Linked DNA regions of Saccharomyces cerevisiae S288C. The protein of the gene in region 1 interacts with the protein of each later gene in a biochemical or structural test. Each region holds a gene or a part of one and is shown in the gene's direction. Other genes may lie near its edges. The genes, in order: PKH2 and LSP1.

Region 1 (5,730 bases):
TACAAAATACAAAAACGTTCAATAAATAAAAATTGAATACAATGTAGTCTGTCATTGTAGTGGTGGTGGGGAACAAAGGTATCAAATAAAAGTCCGTGAAAAATATTAGGAGACAAAATGACAGCATCGAACCCAAGAGATATATTAGTGCTACTAGTGACTCGTTCCTACTGGATTTATTTTTGTACTGTTTCTGCAATTTTGCCAAGTCATGGAATGGAAAACCCTTCTTTGTTTCTTTTGTCTCTGCATTCTCGTTCGAATCTGTCCCCCTAGTATCATTGCTCTCTTTCTCAGTGGTTGTCTCGCATTTGACTGGGCTTTGCTCTATTGTAGTCAATGAAACCATACTGTCAATATATATGTACCTTTATACCAATATTATATGCGCTGACAAGAACTTTAAGAAATTAATTTCCTTTTCTACTTTTTTTCATTTTTATTTTACTTCTGCGTCCATATATCCGGACCATATATATGAGTGTAAATCATTTAGCTGTTGACACCATTGAGTATTTACAATTAAAACCAATTGAGCTCAACAGGCTTGCGTTGAATAATGTTGAGCTGCCCAACGAGCCCTTTTCTCGCGGAGTGCTGTCCGAATTGTCCGAGTTTTTATACGGACAGAACTATCGCTTCTTTGAAGTATATATAAGAATAGACCGGCTGTTCACCCCGTATCCTCCTTTTCTATCTCTTGGCTTGCTATGTTTCAATGTCAGCCTTTGCTTTTATGTGCCCTTGCATACACGTGAATATGTCTATTTTATGTAAACTATAACAGCTGGTACTGCCCGTACATATGCTTAAATTAAATAGCTATTGACGAAGGCCCATTTTCTCGTAGAATATCAGGGTAACATATGGAATAATCATTTTTCTCTGTCTATAAGTAGTAAGACTATTGCTTCTGATCCTTCTGTCAATCGCCTGTCTCCAGTTTTATTTCTTGTCACCTAGAGAAACATACGCTGGAGTTCCCTGTACTATCAAAAGTTGTTTCGGTCCCGCCATTTCCGACTAGCTCTATAGCTAATGGTTGAGACTCAAATAGTTCTGTAGCAATGGAAGCTGATGTACCCCAAATACGAAAAGTCTAAGGCTCAAAAATATATGGTGGGCCCATATATGCCTAGAATAAGGTATGAAACATGACAGATGGTTAACGATCGACTCGACACATTGTTGATGGAATAATTGGTCCCTAGTTAAACAGCGGAGAAATAGCCGCCCAGGATAATCGGAGAAAAGTCACGTGCAAAAAGAAATCATATTCGACGAAATAAACTAGAATAACTTTTGACGTTTAGCAATAATAACCCCAAATGGAAGCGAACATTTCCCGATCCTTTTAGTTTTCTTTAAGGCGCTATTGGCATTCATCTTCAAAGCTTCCGCAACACAGAAATTATATATTCACATTTCTGAGGCAGAGAATAGTTTTGACAACGAAACTGTTAATATTTTTACTCCAGTTACCGCCTTTGAAGTCTGATATTGGTGTACAAAGGTACTTAGGGGTATTTAAGAACAAGAAACTACATAAAATAGTTCGAAAAGGGAAAACAAAAGTAACATCTTGATGAACCGAGAAGCCACTAACTAGTTTTTAAAAAGCAAAAGAAATTAAATCTCTCCTTTTTTTTTTTTCATTTCAACCAAATGTATTTTGATAAGGATAATTCCATGAGCCCTAGGCCGTTATTGCCAAGTGATGAGCAGAAGCTAAACATTAATCTTCTAACGAAAAAGGAGAAATTCTCGCATTTAGACCCCCATTATGACGCAAAAGCCACTCCACAAAGAAGCACTTCGAATAGAAACGTTGGCGATTTACTTTTGGAAAAAAGAACCGCTAAGCCTATGATTCAAAAGGCCTTGACGAATACGGATAATTTCATTGAAATGTACCATAATCAGCAGAGAAAAAATCTTGATGATGACACTATTAAAGAAGTAATGATTAATGATGAAAACGGAAAAACTGTCGCTAGTACCAACGACGGCAGATATGACAACGATTACGATAATAACGATATTAATGACCAAAAAACTTTGGATAATATAGCGGGAAGTCCCCACATGGAAAAAAATCGAAACAAAGTAAAGATTGAACATGACTCTTCATCTCAAAAACCAATAGCTAAAGAGTCATCCAAAGCCCAAAAAAATATAATCAAAAAGGGAATCAAGGACTTTAAATTTGGTAGTGTAATAGGTGATGGCGCGTATTCTACTGTAATGTTAGCGACGTCGATTGATACCAAAAAGAGGTACGCCGCAAAAGTACTAAACAAAGAATATTTAATACGCCAGAAGAAAGTCAAATACGTCAGCATAGAAAAAACCGCCCTTCAAAAGCTCAATAATTCTCCTAGTGTTGTGCGATTATTTTCCACTTTTCAGGATGAATCAAGCCTATACTTTCTCTTAGAGTATGCCCCCAATGGGGACTTTCTTTCTTTAATGAAAAAATACGGTTCATTAGACGAAACCTGCGCACGATATTATGCTGCGCAAATAATAGATGCCATAGACTACTTACATTCCAACGGTATTATTCATAGAGATATAAAACCAGAAAATATTCTTTTAGATGGAGAAATGAAGATCAAACTGACTGATTTTGGTACTGCGAAGTTACTGAATCCTACAAATAATAGCGTTTCGAAACCAGAATACGATTTATCAACAAGGTCGAAATCTTTCGTTGGAACTGCAGAATACGTATCTCCAGAACTTTTAAATGACAGTTTTACAGACTATCGTTGCGATATTTGGGCCTTCGGATGTATACTTTTCCAGATGATTGCCGGAAAACCACCATTCAAAGCTACCAATGAATACTTGACTTTCCAAAAGGTAATGAAAGTTCAGTACGCCTTTACACCAGGTTTCCCACTTATTATCAGAGATTTGGTTAAGAAAATCTTAGTAAAAAACTTAGACCGAAGATTGACGATAAGCCAAATTAAGGAACATCATTTTTTCAAAGATTTGAATTTTAAAGACGGCTCTGTTTGGTCAAAAACGCCTCCAGAGATCAAACCATATAAAATCAACGCCAAATCCATGCAGGCAATGCCAAGCGGAAGCGATAGAAAACTGGTGAAGAAATCAGTCAACACACTTGGCAAATCGCATCTAGTGACTCAAAGGTCAGCTTCAAGTCCCTCTGTTGAGGAAACTACTCATTCAACCCTATACAATAACAATACTCACGCTTCTACTGAAAGTGAAATATCAATAAAGAAGAGACCCACTGATGAAAGAACAGCGCAGATACTTGAAAATGCAAGAAAGGGTATAAACAATAGGAAAAATCAACCAGGCAAGAGAACACCAAGTGGTGCAGCTTCTGCTGCCCTAGCAGCTTCTGCTGCTTTAACCAAGAAAACCATGCAAAGCTATCCAACTTCTAGTTCGAAAAGTAGCAGGTCAAGCTCTCCTGCGACAACATCAAGACCAGGAACTTATAAGCGTACTTCTTCTACAGAAAGTAAACCATTTGCCAAATCTCCACCTTTGTCAGCATCAGTTTTATCGTCAAAAGTCCCAATGCCTCCATACACACCTCCAATGTCGCCCCCTATGACACCATATGATACATATCAAATGACACCTCCCTATACGACAAAACAGCAGGATTATTCTGATACCGCAATTGCCGCACCTAAGCCTTGTATTAGTAAGCAAAATGTTAAAAATAGCACAGATTCTCCCTTGATGAACAAGCAAGATATTCAATGGTCCTTTTACCTGAAAAACATCAACGAACATGTACTAAGGACGGAAAAACTGGATTTTGTTACCACAAATTACGATATCTTAGAGAAGAAAATGCTTAAACTAAATGGTTCATTGTTAGATCCTCAACTGTTTGGTAAGCCTAGACATACTTTTTTATCCCAAGTAGCTAGGAGTGGGGGAGAGGTTACAGGTTTTCGAAATGATCCAACTATGACTGCTTATTCCAAAACAGAAGATACGTACTATTCGAAAAATATTATCGATTTGCAGCTCTTGGAAGATGATTATCGAATTGAAGGAGGTGACTTATCGGAGTTGCTTACTAACAGAAGCGGAGAAGGGTACAAATGCAATCAAAACAGCTCACCAATGAAAGACGATGATAAATCCGAATCTAACAATAAAGGAAGCTCTGTTTTTTCTGGCAAGATTAAAAAATTATTTCACCCTACCTCAGCAGCTGAAACGCTCTCTTCCTCTGATGAAAAAACCAAGTACTATAAACGAACCATTGTAATGACATCATTTGGAAGGTTTCTAGTATTTGCCAAGAGGAGGCAGCCAAATCCAGTTACAAATTTAAAGTATGAACTAGAATATGACATAAATTTGCGTCAACAGGGTACCAAAATAAAAGAACTAATCATTCCCTTGGAAATGGGAACTAATCATATAGTTGTGATTCAGACACCTTACAAGTCATTTCTTTTGAGCACTGATAAAAAAACCACGAGCAAATTGTTTACTGTTCTCAAAAAAATTCTTAATTCGAATACAAATAAAATAGAGAAAGAACTGTTGCAAAGAAACCAAAAGGTAATTGAAAGAAGAACATCATCATCCGGAAGAGCCATACCTAAAGATCTTCCAACTTCCAAGTCTCCTTCGCCAAAACCCAGGACGCATAGCCAATCTCCATCAATTTCAAAGCACAATTCGTTTTCTGAATCGATTAATAGCGCTAAGAGCAACAGATCAAGCAGAATTTTTGAAACCTTTATCAATGCCAAGGAACAAAATTCAAAAAAACACGCTGCTCCAGTACCGTTAACCAGTAAATTAGTTAACGGATTGCCAAAAAGACAAGTTACCGTGGGATTAGGTCTAAACACAGGAACAAATTTCAAAAACTCATCTGCAAAATCGAAGAGGTCGTAATTAGTAATTTTATCTAATGTTTTCATCAAGCTACTTAAATACTCTAAAAATAAATATATGAGGAATTTCAAGTACTCATATAAATATAATAATAATTCTCGATCAATCAAATGAAAGAGCGCCGTAAGGCAGAATCCCAGAATTCGAAAAGAATGAGACAATGCTCCTTTTGCTATTTATTGAATGCAGATAATACGCACTGTTTCTGTGTTGAAAGTGAAGCTGAAATGGAGGTCATGTACTCACGCATTTTCGTCTTCTTCACTATCAATTTCGTCATCGTCATCTTCTAGCTCTTCTATTTCGACAGTGAAACCTTGAGTTTCAAAGAATTCTTGAACTGATTCCAATTTAGCTGGATGACAGCTCACAAAGGCAACGCTTTTATTGGAATCAAACATGTTGACAAAATATTTCTGCATGGCATTTTTCAGATCTGTTTTGGTAACATTCTGCAACCTTTCCAAATACAATTCATTGAAGTTGTTCCCCCTTTGCAAACAGAATTCATCAACATATTTGGACAGGGCTGTTTCAAAGTATCCGCATTCGATAGTAGCCAGCCTGTTAATAATACTACTGATGGCACCTTGGATTAACTGCTCATCAAATTCCAAGGCACCTGATGCATAATCTTGAACAATCTGTTTTCCAACTTCATAACATTTAATAATATCAGCGCCGCGGTAAATATTGAATCCCCAAGAATTTATCTCACATAATTTTAACATGCTGGCACCATAGGCCAATCCGGCACCACGGATTCCCTTCCAAAATGGACCTTCAACACATTCTAGATATTCGGAAGCCAATGAGACA
Region 2 (3,710 bases), on another chromosome or scaffold:
ACATTCGATATCATATGCATCATAAAAGTTTACATTTAGTCTTTATTTGCATCAACGCAAACCAGGGAAGTACAATAAAATAAGCATTCTATGAACTCGGAGAGCTGACGAAAAAATTTTATATTTTATATGTTGCGGATGAATTATTAATGCCATTATATAAAAATAGGTTATCAATAGGAACGTAATGGTGTGTGATAAGCTTTATAGCCTCTTGAACCACTGCACCTCCAAAAAAGGCCATTACGGAATAGTTATCGTCGACTCGTAAACCAATAAACTCATCTTTATCCTCTGCAGTTACTGCCGGTTGCTCCCAGAATTGGACCATAACTAATGCATCTAAAAGGGCATTCGAGGTGCTAAAAATACCTAACAAGTCACTTTTTGGCGGCAATATTTTCCTGACCTCCCCGTAATGAGAACAAAATGTCTCCAAGACATCCTGTGAAACTATTTTTTTACTGCGAGCCAAACTTTCCTCCACACGAGACTTGTCAAGCTTTGCTTTTACTTCATACAGTTTCTTGAGTCTGATATAATTTTCCGTTGTTGACTCCATATCTGGGAGAGTGCCCGTTAAAGGTTGAAAGCTGAGCTCCCCATTCTCTTTAGCAATATTTTTCAAAGTCAATAATAGTGTGAGAATCTCGTAGTTATAAGTATCATGCCAATCGTTCCCATAATCTGATATTTCCAAATTTCGGAGCAGATCTTCCAGTTCTTTACAACAATCATTTTGAGAGCAGGCCAAGTAAGCATAGCGTTTAGCTTCCACATAATTGGGTTCGTAGATAACATCATTCCCTAAAGGAAGGCAAATTTGGTCTAAAACTTTCTTCATCTGATCAATCGTTATCCTCCCATTATTACCATCCCTTTCAAGTTTTGCAATACACTTCATGAGCAAAACAGTATATGGAATACCAGAAAACGTGGCTGTATCCATTTTACTTAGGTCAAATGTATCTACGTAATTTATTAGTTCAGGCCAAGGGTTCTGTAACCGTAAATCATACTTCTTACTATCTGGGTGTGCTTGCAAAACAAAATGTGTTTCTGAGAGTACCAGATATATATATCCATAAAATCCAGAGACGAAAGTGTTTAGAACAGGCGGAAACTTTGTTCCTCTCTGCCGCCTAATCTCATTTAAATCGAGCATCGCAGTTTGCTCACCAATACAAGTCAAGATCACCACCGAGAAGCGGGTCCAATCATACTGAGGTTGCTGTAACGTCTTTCTAAGGTCATTTTCCTCATATTCTAGCTGTTTAGAAGCCAATGGCTCAAGATCTTTTTTAAGCTCTGCTAAAAACAGAGAACCCGATTGAACTGCACACTCTACTTTGAGCCAAGTAAGAGATGATATTCCGGCAAGCACCAGATTCTTAAAAACTTCCTGCAGCAAAGGTGTAGCAGGTCCTACCACGCACACACGGGACCGGTTCAAACTATCTTGGCCCAATGCTCCCCATAGTCTCAGCTGTCTATCATATCTTTCCATATTTTCATCTACGGCTGTCTAGTTGGCCTAAGAAAGAAAGAGAGGCGACTCATTTTTTTGACGTCAATCGTCTGACTTGTCCTTCTATTTCATTGCTAGGCTAGAAAGCTTAGCTCTTACAACCCCGCTCGTTGCAGCCGAGTGAAAAGGGGATTGCGAAAGGCGTTAGAGGGGATAAAAAGGGGCCCTTTAAAAAAAAGACGGAAAAACCGGGAAGATGCAACGGCTAAATCGCAATATATAAACAGGTGAGATAGAAAAGAAAAAAATCAGTTAACCTCTTTCCTCAATTCCAATGCTTGACCGTAAATTCTCTTTATTTGGTATACGAAAGATTAAACTTTCAAAGCTCCAACACAAGAATGCACAGAACTTACTCTTTAAGAAATCAAAGAGCTCCAACGGCTGCTGAGCTACAAGCTCCTCCACCACCACCATCCTCAACGAAGTCCAAGTTCTTCGGAAAGGCCTCTATTGCGTCTAGTTTTAGAAAAAATGCGGCTGGTAACTTTGGGCCAGAGTTGGCTCGTAAATTATCTCAATTGGTTAAGACTGAAAAAGGTGTCCTTAGAGCTATGGAAGTTGTTGCCAGCGAACGCCGTGAAGCTGCAAAGCAACTGTCTCTATGGGGTGCTGACAATGATGATGATGTTTCCGACGTAACCGACAAATTAGGCGTCTTAATATATGAGTTGGGTGAACTACAGGACCAGTTCATCGATAAATATGATCAATACAGAGTCACATTAAAATCAATTAGGAACATTGAAGCCTCTGTTCAACCTTCGAGAGATCGTAAGGAAAAGATCACAGATGAAATTGCCCATTTGAAATATAAAGATCCTCAATCAACAAAAATCCCAGTTTTAGAGCAAGAACTAGTTCGTGCCGAAGCTGAATCTTTGGTTGCGGAGGCTCAATTATCGAATATCACACGTGAAAAATTAAAGGCTGCTTATAGTTATATGTTTGATTCATTAAGAGAGCTTTCTGAAAAATTTGCCCTGATTGCTGGATACGGAAAGGCCTTATTGGAGCTGCTAGATGACTCTCCTGTCACTCCAGGTGAAGCTAGACCAGCGTACGATGGCTATGAAGCTTCTCGCCAAATTATTATGGATGCTGAATCGGCCTTGGAATCTTGGACCCTAGACATGGCTGCAGTCAAACCAACTCTTTCATTTCATCAGACCGTTGATGACGTCTATGAAGACGAAGATGGTGAAGAAGAAGAAGAACCTGAAATCCAAAATGGAGATATCCCCGGTCAAGTAGTCGAAGAAGAGGAAGTTGAATGGACTACTGAAGTTCCTGTAGATGATGAAGCCCATGAGGCCGATCATCATGTTAGTCAAAACGGTCATACCTCCGGTTCTGAAAACATCTGAGTTTTTTCTAATAATTAATATATTCGAACCTTTCTATATTGTGCTTGTTTTTCACCAGCTCGTGTCTACCTATTATTAATTTCATCTGAATTTGGTTCAAGTATTGTTCGGCCAATATTCCGGTATTGTAATCACCTTTATAATTAATTGAACAAATTTTATAAGACCTAATAATTAACCTTTCTCTTGTTCTCCTTTGCCGTAAGAGATTCAACTTTTCGAAGTCTAATTAAATGAATATGATCTATGAAGTATATATGTACAATAAAAATGCCTATATTAATAAAATTCCTGTCCAAATGCCAGGGCACTTATGCCTCCCTCATCAAACCTCCCCAACTATTCTCCTCTTTACTAGCTCTTTTTTGAAAGCTACATCATTGTCTTTGATATACGCCATTCTTTTTTCCAAAGCAGCCTTTGTGGCTATTGCTTTAACCCGATTTCGATATTCTCTTTTTTTCTGGGAAATGTTTGAGGGTAGGTTTGTGGGCTTCTGATGATCTTGTGCTGTATTGGTGCAGCGTAAAGTAGTGGGGATACAACCCAAAAAACGTAGTATTTTTTTTTGTGAAGAATCACTTTCTTTCCAAATTTTCCAAGAGAACTCACCCTCGGAAGCAATCAGGTTGCCCAACAATTTTCTTGCTTTTTCAATTGACTTTTCTGATAGCGTATTAGGACTACCAAATTTGAAAATTGAGTCTGCTTTGGTTCTCCAATAACTTGTCCGCAATCCAAATCCTTCACTAACCTTTAAGTCTTTGATATACTGTAGGACTGCCCCAAAATTCTTGGTGTTGCCATTCCTAACT

The links.
Region 2: the proteins of PKH2 (region 1) and LSP1 form a complex in vitro, tested with the Saccharomyces cerevisiae proteins (2 studies listed by BioGRID, with this or other methods).

What each region holds. Positions count from the first base shown.
Region 1 is NC_001147.6:127,572-133,301, forward strand, and holds PKH2 (serine/threonine protein kinase PKH2), read left to right. Parts: upstream 1-1,665; coding exon 1,666-4,911; downstream 4,912-5,730. Other genes in the region: IZH4 (Izh4p), read right to left, coding at 1-349; SDD3 (Sdd3p), read right to left, coding at 5,154-5,730. UniProt on the Saccharomyces cerevisiae protein: Serine/threonine-protein kinase which is part sphingolipid-mediated signaling pathway that is required for the internalization step of endocytosis by regulating eisosome assembly and organization, and modulating the organization of the plasma membrane.
Region 2 is NC_001148.4:549,817-553,526, reverse strand, and holds LSP1 (lipid-binding protein LSP1), read left to right. Parts: upstream 1-1,869; coding exon 1,870-2,895; downstream 2,896-3,710. Other genes in the region: ULA1 (Ula1p), read right to left, coding at 119-1,507; AEP3 (Aep3p), read right to left, coding at 3,221-3,710. UniProt on the Saccharomyces cerevisiae protein: Together with PIL1, main component of eisosomes, structures at the cell periphery underneath the plasma membrane that mark the site of endocytosis.